Linked DNA regions of Arabidopsis thaliana. The protein of the gene in region 4 interacts with the protein of the main gene of each other region in a pairwise test. Each region holds a gene or a part of one and is shown on either strand. Other genes may lie near its edges. The genes, in order: JAZ12, AT5G42190, CIP4 and COI1.

Evidence for each region.
Region 1: the proteins of COI1 (region 4) and JAZ12 interact in a two-hybrid assay, tested with the Arabidopsis thaliana proteins (one study listed by BioGRID).
Region 2: the proteins of COI1 (region 4) and AT5G42190 interact in binary tests that used the Arabidopsis thaliana proteins (3 or more experiments, as listed by UniProt).
Region 3: the proteins of COI1 (region 4) and CIP4 interact in a two-hybrid assay, tested with the Arabidopsis thaliana proteins (one study listed by BioGRID).

The regions. Positions count from the first base shown.
Region 1 is NC_003076.8:7,089,058-7,093,057, forward strand, and holds JAZ12 (jasmonate-zim-domain protein 12), read left to right. Parts: upstream 1-1,646; 5' UTR 1,647-1,825; coding exon 1,826-1,950; intron 1,951-2,340; coding exon 2,341-2,443; intron 2,444-2,517; coding exon 2,518-2,698; intron 2,699-2,789; coding exon 2,790-2,847; intron 2,848-2,857; exon of another isoform or gene 2,858-3,047; coding exon 3,048-3,144; 3' UTR 3,145-3,482; downstream 3,483-4,000. Other genes in the region: AT5G20890 (TCP-1/cpn60 chaperonin family protein), read right to left, coding at 1-11, 110-238, 340-451, 541-606, 703-759, 844-849; AIP2 (RING/U-box superfamily protein), read right to left, coding at 3,606-3,755, 3,837-4,000. UniProt on the Arabidopsis thaliana protein: Repressor of jasmonate responses.
Region 2 is NC_003076.8:16,853,648-16,857,418, reverse strand, and holds AT5G42190 (E3 ubiquitin ligase SCF complex subunit SKP1/ASK1 family protein), read left to right. Parts: upstream 1-1,677; 5' UTR 1,678-1,902; coding exon 1,903-2,244; intron 2,245-2,750; coding exon 2,751-2,924; 3' UTR 2,925-3,228; downstream 3,229-3,771. Other genes in the region: PER64 (Peroxidase superfamily protein), read right to left, coding at 3,398-3,771.
Region 3 is NC_003076.8:14,722,598-14,728,815, reverse strand, and holds CIP4 (COP1-interacting protein 4), read left to right. Parts: upstream 1-1,997; 5' UTR 1,998-2,121; coding exon 2,122-2,239; intron 2,240-2,368; coding exon 2,369-2,436; intron 2,437-2,519; coding exon 2,520-2,970; intron 2,971-3,071; coding exon 3,072-3,281; intron 3,282-3,386; coding exon 3,387-3,668; intron 3,669-3,786; coding exon 3,787-5,115; coding exon of another isoform or gene 5,116-5,132; exon of another isoform or gene 5,133-5,195; coding exon 5,196-5,223; coding exon of another isoform or gene 5,224-5,227; exon of another isoform or gene 5,228-5,309; coding exon 5,310-5,454; 3' UTR 5,455-5,672; downstream 5,673-6,218. Other genes in the region: AT5G37200 (RING/U-box superfamily protein), read right to left, coding at 331-984; SUS5 (sucrose synthase 5), read right to left, coding at 5,903-5,951, 6,043-6,128, 6,201-6,218.
Region 4 is NC_003071.7:16,671,975-16,677,611, reverse strand, and holds COI1 (RNI-like superfamily protein), read left to right. Parts: upstream 1-1,747; 5' UTR 1,748-2,125; coding exon 2,126-2,616; intron 2,617-3,301; coding exon 3,302-3,782; intron 3,783-3,957; coding exon 3,958-4,764; 3' UTR 4,765-5,119; downstream 5,120-5,637. Other genes in the region: AT2G39950 (flocculation protein), read left to right, coding at 1-854; ISA1 (isoamylase 1), read right to left, coding at 5,429-5,637. UniProt on the Arabidopsis thaliana protein: Required for jasmonate-regulated plant fertility and defense processes, and for coronatine and/or other elicitors perceptions/responses. Seems to not be required for meiosis. Required for the regulation of some genes induced by wounding, but not for all.

The DNA.
Region 1 (4,000 bases), on a different chromosome or scaffold from region 4:
CATTCTGTAACCTAAGAAACCAGAAAACGAAAAAATTAGAAATCATTGCCATAGTGAGAGAAGCTGATACAAAGTTGACATCTTAACACTTAAAGCTCCAAAAGTGTACCTGCTATGATGGTCATAGGGTGAATCTTAGAAGCCACAAGCTTTTCTGCTTCCCTCAGAAGCTCGCCGGCCAAGACAACAACAGAGGTAGTTCCATCACCAACCTCATCATCTTGAACTTTCGAGATGTCTGAAGAACAAACCAGATACAACGAACTGTGAGAGAAAACCCAACTAAGAAAAAACGAATGTGAAAACTTCATGCCAGAATGTCGCAGGGAAATTACATACCAACAAGAACTTTAGCTGCAGGGTTGTCTATGTGAAGTGACTTGAGAATAGTAGCACCATCGTTAGTAACAGTGACCGCATGACCTCTACCAGTAGATTGCAAGATTTTATCCTAAACAATAATAAAAAGGATTCAACAATAATCAATAGAACCAAATTGAAAGTTTGTAGCTTTCTAAATATTCAGAGATCGGAAATTACCATGCCCTTTGGCCCTAAAGTAGACTTAACCAGATCACTGATAGCCATTGCACCAACAAATGATGCCTAAAAGAGCAACAACAAAAGAAAAGAAAATCAGATTTAAACAGTAGAAGAGTGAATCTGAAAAACCCTAAATCCTAATCGATTCAAAAGACTCACCATCCTCGCACGTTCTCCCTTCTCTTCACTAGCATCATCTTTGAAGATCTTATCGATCTAAATACGAAATAGCTAAGTTCAGTTAACGGAGAGCACTGGGGAAAAGCAAAAGGATTGAAAGAGACGACGGAGGAACATTACCGGCATCGGGAAGAGCGGAAAAAGAAGAAGGAGGCTTCTTCAGTATCGGAGATATCCAAGTTAGTCGAATCTGAGACTAGCGAGAAACAATAGATGGGATCGTTCACGAAGAACGAACAAGCCGAGAGGATCTCGAAATATTGAGTGTGCTTTTGAAGAAGAGTAGAAAATGAGAGGAGAGAGCCAAAACCCAGATCTTTCGGAACCCTAAATGAAACTCGTAAAGACCAAACTACCCTCGTATTTCCCAGATTTCTTATGCGCCCTTCAGTAAAAACTAAAAAGTTTAGATTAACCCTTAACCAAAAAGTTATAAGTTACATTAAGAAGTAAATTTTATAGTTTCGACAATTTTGCATTTTGTTTGATTATATAGAGGAAAAAAAAAAATGTTCCATATACAAATTTGAATTTGGTGATGATTTAGCGGTCGAATACAAAAACAGAAATAAATTAATTCGTGATTTGTATGCGAATATTGTTACTAAAAAAAACTATAAATGTAAAGAGGCTTATAAAATAGAAAGAGAAACATTATAAATGTAAGCAGTCAAGGTCCATTTTAGAAGTCATTTTAAGACGACTAAGCCCAACAGTACTTTAAGAGCCCAATGAATCAAGGTCCAGCAAACTCAATTAGTTTAACGTCTCAGCCACTTATAAATTATACACGTTTGGAGTTCCGGATAACCGAAATGAGAAAGCATGTCCCACATAGAAGGCCAACGACACCGTATCATATTCGAGCACGTTTCTAATTACCCTCTTGTTGTCTTTTACTGTCGTAGCACCAAAAGTCAAACAATAAAAATCAATATCTATCGCCAGGTGTCAAATTACAGGAGCTTCTGAGAAGGATAAATCTCGGAGGTTCCCGGTCTGAACGACGTAGAGACGAAGCGAAACAAAAGTACTCTAAGGGAGAGAAGTATCAAAATTCTCATCGGAAAAAGACAGATCTACAAATTTTGAGAGACAAGCCATGACTAAGGTGAAAGATGAGCCACGCGCTTCCGTTGAAGGTGGATGTGGTGTTGCCGACGGTGACGGCGGCGCGGCTGAGATCGGCGGTACCGGATCTGTTGAGAAATCGATTAACGAAGTTAGGTATGAGCTGTGTTTACTGTTGATTTCACATGTTTTTATCTGTTTCTCTCTTTGCTTTGAGTTTAGTACTTAAAATTGTATCTTGTTTCTGATAAGGAAGATCAGCATTTCGATCTGGTTACTTTAGTTTCTATTTAGGGAAAGTCATATTTCTCAATGGAACCAATTTGTTTTTTGGCTGGAACAATTGGATTCTTAACAAACTTGTGTTTTTCAAAGTCCTTTAATGCATACATAAGTTTTCATGTGAATTTGATTAATAGAACTTCACCGTTAACATGTGAAATTGGAGAGACTGGATTCATATGTGGAGAGTTTTCTTAATGTTGCATCAATAAGTCCATCTTTATAGTGTCGGTCACAAGTTTAATAGATCTTCTGCTATTGAAGGTCCACGGAGATTCAAACCGCTGAGCCAACGGTTCCTCCAAATCAACTTACTATTTTCTTTGGTGGAAGTGTTACTGTGTTTGATGGACTTCCATCAGAAAAGGTTGGTCCATTAGAGCTTTGTTGTTGTCAGAAAAACTTCAGAATTTCTGTTCTCACTGTGATCTATGCCTATAGGTTCAAGAAATCCTTCGTATTGCTGCTAAAGCAATGGAGACAAAGAATTCTACAAGCATCAGTCCTGTCTCATCGCCAGCACTGAACAGAGCTCCTTCTTTCTCAAGCACATCTAATGTGGCATCACCAGCTGCACAGCCATTTCCTATTCAGCCAATCTCGTTTTGCAGATCCACGGCTGGTAAGTATTCGATTCAACTGGTTATAGTAATCTTCAAACCTTGAAAATGGATACTCTCATTAGTTTCTTACAATTATGTTTGCCGTAACAGATCTACCTATTGCAAGGAGGCATTCGCTTCAACGATTCCTCGAGAAAAGACGGGACAGGTATGCAGCCTTTAAAATTACACTTCATCCTTCTCCATTTCAATGGAAATTCAAATCTGATCTATTTTATTCAGTTTTTGATTGATTACTAATACAGAGCTTGTTAATGTACCTGTGAGAGACTTGTAAAGACAGATTGATCATAATGTTTAACCTTGATATTGCATCTAACAATAACATTCACTTTTTTTTATCTGCAGATTGGTCAACAAAAACCCTTACCCTACTTCAGACTTCAAAAAGACAGATGTCCCAACAGGCAATGTCTCTATCAAGGAGGAATTTCCAACTGCTTAGCAGAAGATCAAACCTCCACATTAAGCTTATAAGCAAACTAAGTAAAACGTTTTGTCAATATAGTAATTAATATGATAATCTATCATGTACGCTGCTGTGTGTAATGTGTTGTATGATAGTGTCTGTATAGGTTTGCTAGACAAACCGAAGATTGTTTCCATGTCTGGGAGTGGTCAGATATGTTTGCCATTTTACAATTCTACTGAAGAAACTATTGTAGTTAGTAACACTGTCCTAGAGTCTATCTAACTAATGACTCTTTGATGTTATGTTATTGAACTTGTCATCTCTTCAAGATACAATTGTGTGTAAAGTAAAGAAGTCTGTGTTGTTATTATAAGCTTTCATACAAAAGACATTGAATCTATATGTAAAATGGGATTTATAATTGTGAATGATGAACAACAATTCGGAGATGTTTCAAGGAAAGACAATGGGAGTGTGCCATAACTGATTGAAATTTAAACGTACATATATTCACCTCCGCGGACAGCATTCTCTGCGCCCTTCCTCTCTTCTTCGGCCTCTTTCTCTCTCTCTTTCCAGTTTTCGTATTTCTGATCGTCTGTTGGTAATTCATGGCGGCATATAGGGCAAGAGTTATGCTCGTCCTGCCATAAAACAATATGAGCATAAGCTTTATGTTCTTACTTACTAGTAAGCTTGAAAGAATGGGATTTTTTTTTTTATACCAGCCAAGGCTTTAGGCAAGGAGGGTGAAATGTGTGCTTGCATGGCAATTCCTGCATCTTGTCGCCAATAACTAGATTCTCCTTGCAGATGCAACATTCTGCCTCTGCTCCAAACTTTTTAAGCAATTCCTCGGTGAAAATAATGACTGGGAGTTTCTCTACAA
Region 2 (3,771 bases), on a different chromosome or scaffold from region 4:
TAAATTCTAAATAAAAAGTAAAAAAAAATTAAATTCTAACCACTTTTTAAAAAATTCAAACCAAAATGTAATCTCGTTTAATTATAAAATCTAACCCTAGTTCTTCTTTGTACACCCAATTCGATATTTAAACTCTTTTAATTGCAAACTCTAAATCTCTAACCGTTCTTTCTAAACCCAAACCGATATTTAACATTGTTTAATTATAAAATCTAAATCCATTTATAAAACCAAACAGACGTTCAATCTCGTTTAGTTATAAAATCTAAAACTGTTTATAACTCAAATCGATATTTAATAGTAAAATCTAAACTTCAATCCTTTCTTATAAACCCAAAACTATATAAAATTTTGTTCTTGTGGCAAATTAGATTTTATAATAAAATAAATTTAATTTATTTATTAGGTATAAATTCTAATTTAATGGAATAAAAAGGTGAATAAAGGGGTGAATCTAAATATATTTTTTATTGGCCCATATTTTTTACTAGGATAATGGCCGATTATGCTTTGGTGAAAATTTAGATAACGCAAGTTAGATTTTTCTCACTTTATTTAATAAGATAAGATTTTAGCGGGGATGAAATTTTTACAAGCGAATCCCTCAATATTTCACTTATGTTCGTGGATGATAGCTTCTTTTTTGTAAAACGACAAAAAAAACAATGCGTCATTGGATTTGGAATACTAAAGAACTATGAAGAGGTTTTTGGTCATGAGTTGACAACTCGATGATGGACAAACTTATGGCAATCTTCGAAATCACTAATATAGGGGACATGAACAACTACTTGAGATTATCGAAAAGTTTAGGAGGATCTAAGACAAAAAAAATTTACTCTTTTAGAAAATATTTACATAATAGAATAAATGGTTGGTTTACAAAATTCTTATCTAAAGATGGCAAAGAAGTATTGATTAAATCAGTACCAGATGCATTGCTTACTTATGTATTGTCTTGTTTTAGATTACCAAAATCAGTAACATCAAAACTTAGGAATGTAGTAACGAAATTTTGGTAGAGTTCCAATGGACGAACAAAACGTTTACAGTGGAAGGCATGAGATAAATTTTGTCATAGTGCCTCTCTGCTCTCCCTCTCCTCCTCCGGGTGCCTCTCTGCTTGCTACTTGGTTCCGTCTCTTCAGTTAGGTCCTCCTCTGCGGTTCAGGTTTCCTTATGAGTTTTTTGAGTCCTTGGGTCGTTCCCTCTTCGTTCTTTTGGTTTTTGGGCCTGCTATTTTTAAGTTTCAGCTTCTTTGGTTGTTTTGGGCTTTGCTCTTGTTGTCGGGCCTGCGCGCCTTGGATTTGAGCTTTTGGATGTGTATGTTTTCGAGCCTGTGTGCTTATGTTTGGACACTTGTCTTATAACTTGTTGTTTGTTTTAATGGAAATTTAAAATTAAAAAAAAATAAGAAAAATAAAATAAAAAATAAATAAGTTTTGTCGTAACGGTGGACTTGGTTTCTAGAATGTGGATGATTTTAATACAACTTAATTAGCAAAACAACTGCCGCAATTGATTATGATTCTTAACTCTTTATTTGCAAAGATGTTCAAAGAAAAATATTACCGGAAATCAAATCACATGAATCCAATTAAATTATACACACCATCCTACAAATAGAGGAGTTTAGTATCTGTTCAACTACTGATTAATCAAAAGTTGATGAAAAGAGTTGAATTAATTTTCAGGTGTTTTCCTTTGAAAGAAAAAAACAGAGAAAATGTTTTAAAATGAAAATTTATAGGTAAAAAAAGTCAATTGGGAATCGTTAGATCTCACTGGTTCAATGTGTGAGCCGGGCTTTAAAAACATTTTGATTTAACCCATACACACATCTCTCTGTTCCACGATTCTCTTCCTCAGCCTCCACGTCGTCTCTAAACTCAGCAAAAACCAATGTCGACGGTGAGAAAAATCACTCTTAAGAGTTCGGATGGCGAAAACTTCGAAATTGACGAAGCGGTGGCGCTAGAGTCACAAACCATCAAACATATGATTGAAGATGACTGTACCGATAATGGTATCCCTCTCCCTAATGTCACAAGCAAGATCCTTTCGAAGGTGATTGAGTACTGTAAGAGACATGTCGAAGCTGCTGAGAAATCCGAAACCACGGCCGATGCTGCTGCTGCTACTACTACCACCACCGTCGCGTCGGGTTCTAGTGATGAAGATCTCAAGACTTGGGATTCTGAGTTTATCAAAGTTGATCAGGGCACTCTCTTCGATCTTATCCTGGTTTGTCAAACTTATTTTTAATTGCTTTGGTTTTCAAAGTTTGCGATTTCATTTCTAGGGTTTGAGATCTTGATTTCTGTTTGAGATCTAATTTTAGGGTTCAGGTTTTGTTTAGATTGCCAATTTCACAGTTTAAACTATGATCATGTCTGATTGAAATATATGGTCTGATAGAGAAAAAAGTGTCAAGAGATTTCTTTTGAGTTTGTTGGATTTGTTTATAGCTGAAGACCACTTTACATCCAAACTCATGTTTTTTATGTTCTGTCTTAAACATTGGATAATGTTTAATTTCTTTGGGATTTGCTTGAATCTAGATTTGTTTTTCTGAGAAACCTTTTGGATGCTAACATGACATGTTTTGTTCTGTCTGAAACGAGTGATAAAGTTTATTTTCTTTGGAATCGTAGTTCAATATGTTTGATTTGCTTGAACAATAAAGTTCCATTTTTATCTGAAAGTTGAAGAGCTTGAATCTAAGTTGGTTTCCCTGTGACACCTTTTAGGCTGCTAACTACTTGAATATCAAGGGACTGTTGGACTTGACTTGCCAGACAGTGGCTGATATGATTAAAGGAAAAACCCCAGAAGAAATCCGTAAGACGTTCAATATCAAGAACGACTTCACGCCAGAGGAAGAAGAAGAGGTTCGCCGTGAGAATCAGTGGGCGTTTGAATGAAGAAAAATGAAGACCTAGGTTGCTGTCATGTCCTCGACCCATTTGTGTCTCCCTGTCTTATCTTCTTTCTTTGACTATATATCCATTCTCTTCTACGTGATGGTCCAGCTAAGACAGTGGGTCGGATGTTAATGTTATGTTATGTATGTCAAATTAAAGACTTAACTACGAAACATATTGAAGTTGTTGCTCAAAAGAGAGTGTTGGTCTTCTATTGTTTCGTCAATCATTTAGATAGGTTGTGAACACAAGTGATAAGATTTGTCTGCATGTTCTTAGAAAGAGAAAAGATCTTATTACTTGTAAATAAATGCCTATACAAGCACACACGAGAGATTGATAGATAATTCTGATACAAGAACCTCTGCCTTAATCTTTAGAAAGGCCCATTCACAAGTAATCAATGTGACGAAAGAAAACGAAAGACATAAAAATGTAGTAGTAACGTGATGTTGGAAGCGTAGATTGAGATTCTAGCGAACCCTTCTGCAGTTAAGTCTGACCTCATTGCCATTCCCACTGATACTACTCATCTTGATCATCGATTTCACAAAAGCCCTCTCGAACTCTTCGTTGGAATTTGCATATTTGGCCACGAGTTTCTTAGTAGAGGGTACTGCAAGAAGCGATTCGTCGGATGAGAATAGTGACTTGCCTTGGATAAGCATCTTGTAGTAGATATTGTCGAATGACGTCACGGTTCCATCCATGTTCGATCCAGCATTCTTCACCGTGTTATGGGCCGGGCACACTCCCTCCAACCTGGCTGCGAATGAGGGGTTTAGTGTTGGGTCAACCTCCTTTTGTGTGTTGAATTTATGGAGCCTATTCTGGAACGATGAACAGT
Region 3 (6,218 bases), on a different chromosome or scaffold from region 4:
AACCATTGAGAAAGAAGAAGCTTAAATTAGCAAACTTGATCTAATCCATTGTGCAATAGTTCTGTGGAACACACAGAGAGATCATCTTCTCAAGGGACTTTGTGCCAATAATGCTTTTGAGCAATGCATCAAAAGAGTAGCCTGATTCACATTTGTTATAACTCAAAAGTAATAATGTCTTTCATGATACTTGTGCATTACGACAGAACATATCTTAAATGTTTATACATAACATTAAGACAGAACTGATTACATAATAATGATTACGCCTCAAGAAATCAAATGGACTTCAAATTCTATACCTAAACATAAGAAGACACCTCCAAGACCCTAACCCTCCTCGTCCTCGTCCTCGTCCTCCTCCTCGTATGGAACTTTGCGACACAAGGGACACGAGTTTTGAAGACCAAGCCACTCGAATAGACAACCTTGGTGAAACAAATGTAAACAATCAGGCACCCGAATGATGTCTTCATGACTCTCCGAAAACTTCTCAATACAAATCGAACATGTCTCATCTTCTTCTTCCAAATCAGCAGATTCAACTCTCTGTTCTTCAACCAATCTATGAAACACTTCTCCGGAAGCACCTCTCGACAACAACGACGGACCATGAGGAAAAATTACACGCCTCTCTTTGATATATGTCACATAGACGGTTACGGTAACAGGTTGTCGAAGAGAGTTATCATTAGCAAATGAATCCTTAACATCATGAGCGATTTTTTGACCTAAAAATTGATCATCAAGGAGTTGAGTGAGAACACGTCGCGTGAGACGACGAGGATTCAAGAGGATGTGAGCATTTGTTTCAAGTGGAGATGTGTACCATCCTAAATTTGCTACAATTCCACTTTCGTATTCAATCAATTCTTCAATTTCTTCTTCTTGGTAGATTAAGACTGTGTTCGTAACCCCTACAATTTTAGGTCGATTTGATACCATCGTAGAGACTTCTATTGTTCTCAACGTCTCAGTCTCCATATGGCAGAGTAGAAGTTTTTCAAACAAAAATTAATGAAACCCTAACTTGCAAAAGAAGAGTAAGAGAAGCGAAAAGAGAATGAAATAGATTTCTTCAGATGACATGTCTCATCAATTTATATAGAGACGAGTTGTACAATATCATTTGTTGTTTCATTTTTTTAATCGATAAGATTCATGTTTTCCTTTTCTAAAACTCTACCGCTGTAACTTGTAAGTTAAGTTAATCTACATATTTAACACTGTACCGGAATTATATCCCCAAAACATTGTTTGGTATTATTTCGGTTTATTCTGGTTTAGTGAGAAACAAAATAATAAACGTCAACAGAGATTTTTAAACCTAAATCTCGACAATAGAACCAGTACCTCTTGTTCATGAAGGAGTTGAGGAATGAAGTGAGATAAATAACGTGGCCTGAAGCTTCGTGGCTTCAAGGCGGATGTGAGAACCCGTTTGAAGTGGAGAACTGTATTTGTTATCAATTTATCCACTTTCGTCTTCATTCAAATGTTCTATCTCTCCGTTTAGATATAATATAAGAAAACACAACCACCAAAAGAGTCCTATAATAATCGCAAATATGTATGCTATTTACGACTAATTTGAGACTATTATGAGTAGTCCCGAACAAGATGGTCGCACAATAGTCACAAATTTGCGACTAGAGTGTGACACTAATATATAGTGTATATTGGCGACTACTTGGAGACACAAAAATCATGAGCGATTGTTTGATATATTTCACATGCATAGACGGTTGTCGAAGAGAGTTATCATTAGCAAGTGAATCCTTAACACAATGAGCGATTGTTTGACCTAAAAATTGATCATCAAGGAGTTGAGTGATAATAAGTCGCGTGAGACGAGGAGGATTCAAGAGGATATGAGCATTTGTTTCAAGAGGAGAACTGTACCATCCTAAATTTGCTACAATTCCACTTTCGCATTCAATCAAAACGAGAAAGTTTTGGGCTTAAATAGGGTTTTGCTGAAAAGTTTTTGGGCTTATATAGGGCTGGACCATTAAACAGAAAAGTTTTATCCTTTTTTCTTTCTCCCAAACGCTCTCTTCTTCTTCTTCTTCTTCTTCTTCTTCGCTCGTCTCCTTCCAATTCCAGTCTCGTTTCGAAATAATGGCTAATCGCGAAACAAATTCCTCACCGGAGATTCGATGCGTCTTTGTAGAAACCAACCTCGACACTCGTCTCATTTTACATGTGCATAAAGATGAAATCATCTCCGATTTCAAAGGTCTCTCTTCTCAAATTTATCACTGAATCGGCTTACTAAATCTCTTCATACTCCACTGAAATCTACTACTTAAACTTATTATTACTGAGTTTCTCTGATCATTTTTTTTTTTTTTGGTTTGGTTTATAGACAGATTACTCAAGGAGCATAAACAAGTTTTCCCAGAAATTGGAGAAATTCAAATCTCTGCCTTGAAGGTAATTGGATTTTGCTGCTTTGTTCATACATTTTTGTTGTTAGGAACAAGTATAATTGATGATTGGTTTAATTTTGTTTCAAGGTTAAAAGACGAAGAAAGTTTTATCATTTCTCAGATTCTTTGCATGTGTGTAAGGCTTTTGATGGCATTAGTAGAAACTGGTTTATGTATATTGATGCCATTAGAGTTGACAAGGGTAAGATGTATGCTATAATGGCTGCTGATCAAAACCTTGAGTTGGTTGAGAAGAAGGAAGAGATTGCAAATGGTTTAGTACTTGTAGATGATATGAATAATAAGGATTTGACTAGTGGAGAAGGTTTGGAAACCGAAGTAGTTGAGGAGAAGACAAGGAAGAGGAGAATTATAAGTCCGGGTGGGAATACAAGTCCAAAGAAATCTAAGGTTGATCTCAGTCCATCTGCTGTTGCTGCTACTACCGAGTTATGTGGAAAAGTAAAGGGTGAAGTTGTCTCTCAATCTTGTGCAGTTTCACCAAGAGAAAAGCTAGATGATGTTGTTACGAGAGCAGGTACCCTCTGTTTTGGTTAATATGGAATGTAGTGATTTTTCAGATGTTTTTGGAGAGTGTCAGTTGAATTACCTTTGGTTGTAATATCTGATGTTGTATAGATATTGAAAGCGGCGAGAAAAGCGGCCTTAGTATGGGAGAGAAGCAGCAAACTTCTGTTACGGAAAGGCTACTGGAAGAGAAAAATCTCACTGTTAATTCAGAGCTTGTAGATGGGCATACCGGTGGTGTGGTGAAGGAAGTACCAGACAATCAAACTATTAAAGAAGCTCTAGAAAAAGTAGATGATCTTACGGGAACAATAGAACAAGGTGAATTTTCTTTTTTTAACTATGATTGAGTTTTGGGATCCTTTATTAGTTGTTATGGAGAGTTATGGTATGCTTACCCTTGATAACATTTCTGAATTTCTGTAGATCTTGAAAAGGGAGGAAAAACTGCTGATATAGTCATGATTGACCAAGAGAAGGATCTTCCACCTGCTTCAAAACTTGTAGATGGGCAGATTACGTCACAAGTTGATGAGAGAGGTGAGGGAAGAAGATTGGCTCCAAGTGCTGTCGATAATCTTCAAACTGCTGAAGTGGTGACTAACGTGGATAACCAGTTGGAAGCTAGCAGTAGTTTGACAACTGGTCCAGCTACAGAGAAGAAGAGAAAGCGAATGAAGAGCTCAAAAGATCACATCAAACAAAATGGTAAGACAAAATGGTAAATTGGATTCTTGGTCGAAGATAGTTCTTCTTTTCAATCATATGTTAATGTCACAGGGAGTTATTATCAACTCATAACTGGTGATTTTTTTTTTTTTGGAAGGAAATGAGATGGCTGACATATTGGTTGACAAGGTGGGAAGTGGAGAGGCCACACTTATCGGTGCAGACGAAATACAAGCTGCGAGTAATCTACAAGTTGCTGGTATGGCGAGCACCCCACATGCCTTTGTCCAGGAATCGAAAACGCTGGACCACATAGGTAAAGTTACGGATACTGAACATAAAGTTCCTCAGGAAAGAGTTGAAATAGATGCTGATCAGGCTAAATCTGTGAAGTCTACTAAGAAGAAAAGTTCAAGAAAAGCCAAGACCCCAGCTAAAGAAGATACTCTGGTAGATTTTGGTGCACAGAATGTTGAACCTATCAAAGTTGTAGATGGAGAAGGACATGTTAATGATATCAGAAATGTATTAGATTCTTTGCAGCAAAGGACCGAAGTTGAGGAGAATATGGAGAAAAGTGGGAAGAAATCAAGCAAGAGATCGAAGAAGAAAGACTCTTTGAACATTGTGGAGGAGGCCCAAGTAGTAGATTCTTTGCAGCAAAAGAAAGAAGCTGAGGAAAATCTGGAAAAAAGTGGGAAGAAGTCAAGCAAGAAAACAAAGAAGAAAGACTCTTTGAACATTGTGGAGGAAGCCCAAGTTTTGTCAGTTGAGGTAAACAATGTTGCTCAGGAGGAGGCTTCTCCCATCAACAACCCAAAAGACACAGATGCATCATTCACGCCAGCTAAGAAAACTACTGAGAGCAATGCTTCGCCTTTGAAAAAGATTAGTGAGGTCACCGATAATACTGAGGATCTTAACCGTTCCATGCAAGTACTGAAAGAGAACGCTGATATGGGAGACAATTTTGGTTCTAGCCAAAAGGACGATATTGTTGGTGGTACTAACAAGGAAGACCAAGTGACTGGTGGAGCTAAATCTAAAAAGGAGAAGAAAAGCCTTGATTTGCATCCTGGTGGTTCCATTGATGGCTCAATGAAAGTGAAAGAGACAAAAGGTAGAGTTCAACCATCTAGTTCAGGTACTAGTCAATTGCAGTCAAGGGCTAAGAATGATCGCAATGGATCAAAGGTTGATCTTTCTGATGCATCCATGAAAGGCACAGTAAACAACAAGAAGGAAGCCGTGAAGAAAAGCTCTAATTCGGTTACAGTGAACAATAGTAAGGTGAATGTCAACAACAAGAAGGAAGTTGTGAAGAAAATCTCTAACTCAGTCACGGCGAACAAGATCACAACGAATTTCTTCAAGGATGCTGAGGAGGATGAATCTAAGACGACTTCGAGTGACTCCTCTAATGCACCATCAGATAGTTCATCAGACAATGATAGTGATGTGACTTCTTCTATGTATATGAAGCAAGGTATTTTATCGATCTGAATATAACTTTGATCACACGTTCTCTCAACCAGATATGCTAATTTCGATTCTTGGTTTCAACAGGAAATAATCTCGTTGGAGGAACAAATAGGTAAGTAACCGGTTCAGGGTATTATTATTTTCAATCTTAGCTGCACAGACTACTGTCATGAACTCTTTTACTCGTCTTGTGAACAGGTTATCAGGGAGCCTGCAAGATATCCTAAGAAGCTCAAAAAGTTACAAGGCGGCGAAACTGACAGCTTCTCTATCACAATCGGTTGCATTCGATGATGAGAGCCTTGGGATAAATGTTGTCCCAGATAGCCAAGCCGCCATCTAAGTTTTATTGATTATCCTTTTGGATTCAATTTTGACCAAAATCTTCAAATCACGGTTTTGCTTGTTCTAACTAATTCTGGTATGGTGCTTCTTCTCTGACATTTTATGTTAATCGGAAGTGCTTTATAAGAGGTATTGCAACAGCTAAATGTTAATCTCGTCTCGGTTAATCCTCGTGTTTGGTTCCATAATACTTGAATCCCAGATTTCTTGAGCTTCAAGATAACAAATCCTTCAACTTCAACATGTTAACATCAGTAATATCATACAAAACCTACTAAGAATCAATGGTAAAAATCAAATACATTGTGTTTCTTTTTCCCTTTATTATACTTGCAATCACACAACTTGAGTATCTTACACATGAAACTACAATGCGTATAAATATAACTGAAGCATCAACATGTTTCAGATTTTCCTGATATTAGCTCACTTGTTCAGAAGAGAGCTTAAGCACCAAACAACCTGAAACTCAATCGCGGCTGTGTTCGCTTCGAGCTGTAAAAATATGAAGAAAATTTACAAATTTATAACATGAATATATTACTCTTATATAATCCGTAGTGATTCTAAATGTAAATTAACTTACCCTTTTGATGCTGATGGTTTCACCAAAGGCTTTGGAGGAAGAGGAGGAGGCTCAGGAATATCACTCAATATGGGTATAGTTTTCACCTGTTTTAAACAAATGGTTAAAAAAAACATTCACACAAAGTGAAAACAAAAATAAAAGACTAATAGTTTTACCAAATTTCGGTATTGAAG
Region 4 (5,637 bases):
ACAGTGAAGGCCATTTCTCAATCTTTGATAATTCATCCATTACCTCTATCCCCACCAATGTAGAGGGTTTTATCCAGTCAGAAGGAGAAGTTGAAGAAGCTACTGAGAATTATAATGGAATCAGACAAATTATTGCTTTTGAAGAAGCAGAGTCAACACCAAGTACAATGACCGGACCTCCCCCATTTCCTTTGAAGATGGGTCCACCAGTCTTTTCTCCTTATTATTGCTGGTGCCCTCCAACCACTTCATCGCTTCACGCACCATCTGCCTCTTATCAGTTCCCTCCACTATCCATTGAGCTACCTTCCCTTCCGCCACTTTCCTCCTTATTACCAGCATCGGGATCAGATGGATTCTTGATCCCGTCATCACCGCTCGATCTCTCTGACATCCCTCCATTACCATTAGTCCACCACATACCCATTCCAGGCTCATCATCATCATCATCCCAGCAACAGATGATGATTCCTATAATGTGCGACCCTATTGTTCATATTCCAGTTATCGATATCTTCTCTTCAGGTCAAAGCTATCTGGTAAGCGCTGGACCCACCGGGATAATATCCACGGGCATCCCTCCGCTCCCAGTGGAGAATGATTCGCTGGTCGAGAAAGGTGCAAGAGAAACACTACGATTGCTCATAAGCGGAGCCAATGCAACAACATCTACACCTTTGAACCATCATGGAAGCAGAGGTCTATACAGTGTGAGCCGGGATGTGAGTGGTGTGAGCTTGTTTGCACCTATTGGGTTGCAACAACCGAGTTCAGTTGAGGGAGGAGATGGTGGTGGTGAGAGTGTGAGCTCAAGCGAAGCAGTGCCTGCGCCTCCCAGAGAGACTTCTGGTTAATTTTTTTGGTTCTTTGTAAGTGTGGTCCGAGTTAAGTGTATAGAAAACTCATCTCTCGCCTAGTTTTTGGTTTTGTTCAGCCCAAGTCTTTTGGTTTCAGGTGTAATTAGTCGGGTTTTTTGTAGCTTGCTTATATTACCTTTGTTATTTCCGAGTTTCAAATGAAGCTAAGAAATACGATCATAATAAAAAAGTTCTTTTGCAGTATTCATTTTCTTTCATGGTTCCCTCCTTATTCATAGTCATTGTTGTTCTTTCTAATACTTTTCCTGAGCTTTTTTTTTCTATTGGAAAAACTTTTGTCACTGAAAGAAATTTCAATGTGATTGGTTCTTTTCGCAACTGTAATAAGCACTAAAAGTTAATAATTTGCTGCTTTTTAAGTCTTGTTGCTGAATGATTTAATCCCAAAGACGTTAAAAAAAAGACATGTAAATAGTCTTTGTTCCAAAAGTACCATTTTGAGCGCTTTCTTTCGACAATTGATGTTGAACTTGTACCAAATAAACCTTGAAAATCATACATCATTAAATGTAGTTTTTTGTTATATACTTATATTCATATGGTCCATAATATATAGTTAACCATATTATGGACCATATAAATTCATGCAGTCAACAACTTTTTTTTTCCTCATTAAAAGCTACTAATACTGTAGAAAATTTTTATCTTACAAAAGAAAGGAGAATTATTGTATTTTTATTTTAATCACATATAAAGCAACCAAAGATAACATATACTAGTATTTAGTATTTTTAAATTTTTTGCTTAGGATTCAGGTTATTAATACTCTATAAAGAAATAATTAAATCTATCCATCGAATAAATCACACAGCTTATTGGATCAGTTAAATATTCTAATAATATTGTCGTGTAGCTGAGATCTGACCACTGCAAAAATGAAAAGAAAAACATAGAAGTAGAGAGAAGATCGCATCTCGACCGTCAACTTCAGTGTATGAAATAATGATCGTCCCACTTGATCCTCAAAAATATTATTAACCAAACAAAATTTGATTCCATCGTCCCACTTTCTTCTTCTTCCTCCCAATCCGCCTCTTCTTCCTACGCGTGTCTTCTTCTCCCTCACTCTCTCAATCTCTAGTCTTCTCCGATTCACCGGATCTTTCCTTTCTTACTTCTTTCTTCTCACTCTGGTGGTTATGTGTGGATCTGCGACCTCGATTTCAATTCGAAGTCGTCGGTTTCTTCTCTAAATCGAATCTTTCCAGGATTCGTTTGTTTTTTTCTTTTGTTTTTTTTTCGATCCGATGGAGGATCCTGATATCAAGAGGTGTAAATTGAGCTGCGTCGCGACGGTTGATGATGTCATCGAGCAAGTCATGACCTATATAACTGACCCGAAAGATCGCGATTCGGCTTCTTTGGTGTGTCGGAGATGGTTCAAGATTGATTCCGAGACGAGAGAGCATGTGACTATGGCGCTTTGCTACACTGCGACGCCTGATCGTCTTAGCCGTCGATTCCCGAACTTGAGGTCGCTCAAGCTTAAAGGCAAGCCTAGAGCAGCTATGTTTAATCTGATCCCTGAGAACTGGGGAGGTTATGTTACTCCTTGGGTTACTGAGATTTCTAACAACCTTAGGCAGCTCAAATCGGTGCACTTCCGACGGATGATTGTCAGTGACTTAGATCTAGATCGTTTAGCTAAAGCTAGAGCAGATGATCTTGAGACTTTGAAGCTAGACAAGTGTTCTGGTTTTACTACTGATGGACTTTTGAGCATCGTTACACACTGCAGGTACACTTACTTCTCAGTATCTTGTAGCTACTTTGGCTCGATGCTTTTGAGGTTTAGCGACTCCTTATCATTTCCTACTTTGACTAGAACTCTAGATGCATTTGGCTCTTTTTAAAAAACTTAATAAGTCGTCGTTGTACAAAGAACCATATCTTGAGTTTGTGTTTGTAAAGATTTGATCTTCTTTAGCTCAATTGGGTAAGTTGTAACTTTGGTGGATACTTTTTGTCCTTAATGAAATTGGTGAACCTTACTTCATTTGATTTCTTAGTACACTTTACACTAAGAGTAATATAAGCAGAAACATTTATTTCAGAAAGTTTCAGTATTTAGGCGTTCATGTTTGTCTTATATCCTTAATTGCTTTGCAACTGTTATGCTTGCTATTAAAGCAGAAATTGCAATGATCTTCAGTTATTTCTCAATTGGGGAAGTATAAACTTTGATCCGGATTTTATCTACAACCAATTTTTTCCCTCTTTGGGGAACATTCACTTTGTTTATGCATAAATAGCAAAAAGATTGATTTCTGACATCTTCAGTCTGCCAGAGTTTATGTGTATTATTTGGTTTTTGAATCCTTGATTCGGCTGCTGCTGTTCTTCATATTCAGTTTTAGCGGGAAATCCAAATATCTTGAGTTGTTTCTCACTTTATTCATGCAACTGTCTGTTGTCTTGTCCAGGAAAATAAAAACTTTGTTAATGGAAGAGAGTTCTTTTAGTGAAAAGGATGGTAAGTGGCTTCATGAGCTTGCTCAGCACAACACATCTCTTGAGGTTTTAAACTTCTACATGACGGAGTTTGCCAAAATCAGTCCCAAAGACTTGGAAACCATAGCTAGAAATTGCCGCTCTCTGGTATCTGTGAAGGTCGGTGACTTTGAGATTTTGGAACTAGTTGGGTTCTTTAAGGCTGCAGCTAATCTTGAAGAATTTTGTGGTGGCTCCTTGAATGAGGATATTGGAATGCCTGAGAAGTACATGAATCTGGTTTTTCCCCGAAAACTATGTCGGCTTGGTCTCTCTTACATGGGACCTAATGAAATGCCAATACTATTTCCATTCGCGGCCCAAATCCGAAAGCTGGATTTGCTTTATGCATTGCTAGAAACTGAAGACCATTGTACGCTTATCCAAAAGTGTCCTAATTTGGAAGTTCTCGAGGTAAACGTTTAACTTTGCTGTCTTTACTACATACTTGGGAATGCGTCCTTAGTACTAAATTGTGTTCCTATTTTTTCACGAAATATTTGGGGAGATAAGGGATATGAATGCAATATTGGTTCTCTTTAGTCTTTACATCTATATAAGACTGACAACACTTGTTGTTTTTCTTCAGACAAGGAATGTAATCGGAGATAGGGGTCTAGAGGTCCTTGCACAGTACTGTAAGCAGTTGAAGCGGCTGAGGATTGAACGCGGTGCAGATGAACAAGGAATGGAGGACGAAGAAGGCTTAGTCTCACAAAGAGGATTAATCGCTTTGGCTCAGGGCTGCCAGGAGCTAGAATACATGGCGGTGTATGTCTCAGATATAACTAACGAATCTCTTGAAAGCATAGGCACATATCTGAAAAACCTCTGTGACTTCCGCCTTGTCTTACTCGACCGGGAAGAAAGGATTACAGATCTGCCACTGGACAACGGAGTCCGATCTCTTTTGATTGGATGCAAGAAACTCAGACGATTTGCATTCTATCTGAGACAAGGCGGCTTAACCGACTTGGGCTTAAGCTACATCGGACAGTACAGTCCAAACGTGAGATGGATGCTGCTGGGTTACGTAGGTGAATCAGATGAAGGTTTAATGGAATTCTCAAGAGGCTGTCCAAATCTACAGAAGCTAGAGATGAGAGGTTGTTGCTTCAGTGAGCGAGCAATCGCTGCAGCGGTTACAAAATTGCCTTCACTGAGATACTTGTGGGTACAAGGTTACAGAGCATCGATGACGGGACAAGATCTAATGCAGATGGCTAGACCGTACTGGAACATCGAGCTGATTCCATCAAGAAGAGTCCCGGAAGTGAATCAACAAGGAGAGATAAGAGAGATGGAGCATCCGGCTCATATATTGGCTTACTACTCTCTGGCTGGCCAGAGAACAGATTGTCCAACAACTGTTAGAGTCCTGAAGGAGCCAATATGATATGACCCAAAAAACAGGTTTGTATATAAAGATTTTTAGTCTCGAGTTTTGGGGTTTCCACAAACTGTGTACTATACTACTTTGGTTCTTTTTTTGTTTCATGTTGTGTCGTCGATGTTTTTGGGAGATTACATAGAGTCAGTCTTGTTTGTTGTATGGTCATTACTTCTTTATTTTTCCTCAGGGGTCTGTTTACTTTAATTTCTTTAATAAAACCCCGAAGATTTTGAGAGATTTCTTTATCGTCCATGGTGTTGACTTCTGAGAGCTATATTTGTTTGGATTGGCATCTGAAACTTTATTTGTGGTTGTGATTGTTTTGATAACATTAGTAAAAAGGCAAATAATAGAGTACTAATAATCATTTATAACTTTATAGATGAAAACTTTGATTTCTTGTTCTTACACGAATTCTGAAAACGATGTAACAAGCTTTTGATTGGATTAACAGACGATAAAGGAATCTATTAACAATGAGTGGGCATATCTGAAGCCGACCAAAGGTACCCCATTCAGATTCTTCTAACCATAAAAGGAACCTTTACTATAATACATTATATAGGTAACGAAATAGTTGTCTGTATATGCATCTCATTCACATTTGAGAAGATTCCTTCATATGTTGTGATTTTGTCTAATACGCTTTTGGAGGAATCACGCAAACTCAGGGGTCTTTAATTGGTGAAAGAAGGAGAATGATGGATGAGTAACTGAGCATTGGGTACACATTTGCATCTAAGAAGTGCCTATACTGCTTCATCGCCGTTTCTCTCTCTGGGAGATCCGGTGTTATGCAGTCGTAAGGGCTCGGTTTGCTCGTGTCTACAAATGGCTCCCATCGGTATCCTGGCCTATTCGGTAGCGAAACAAGTG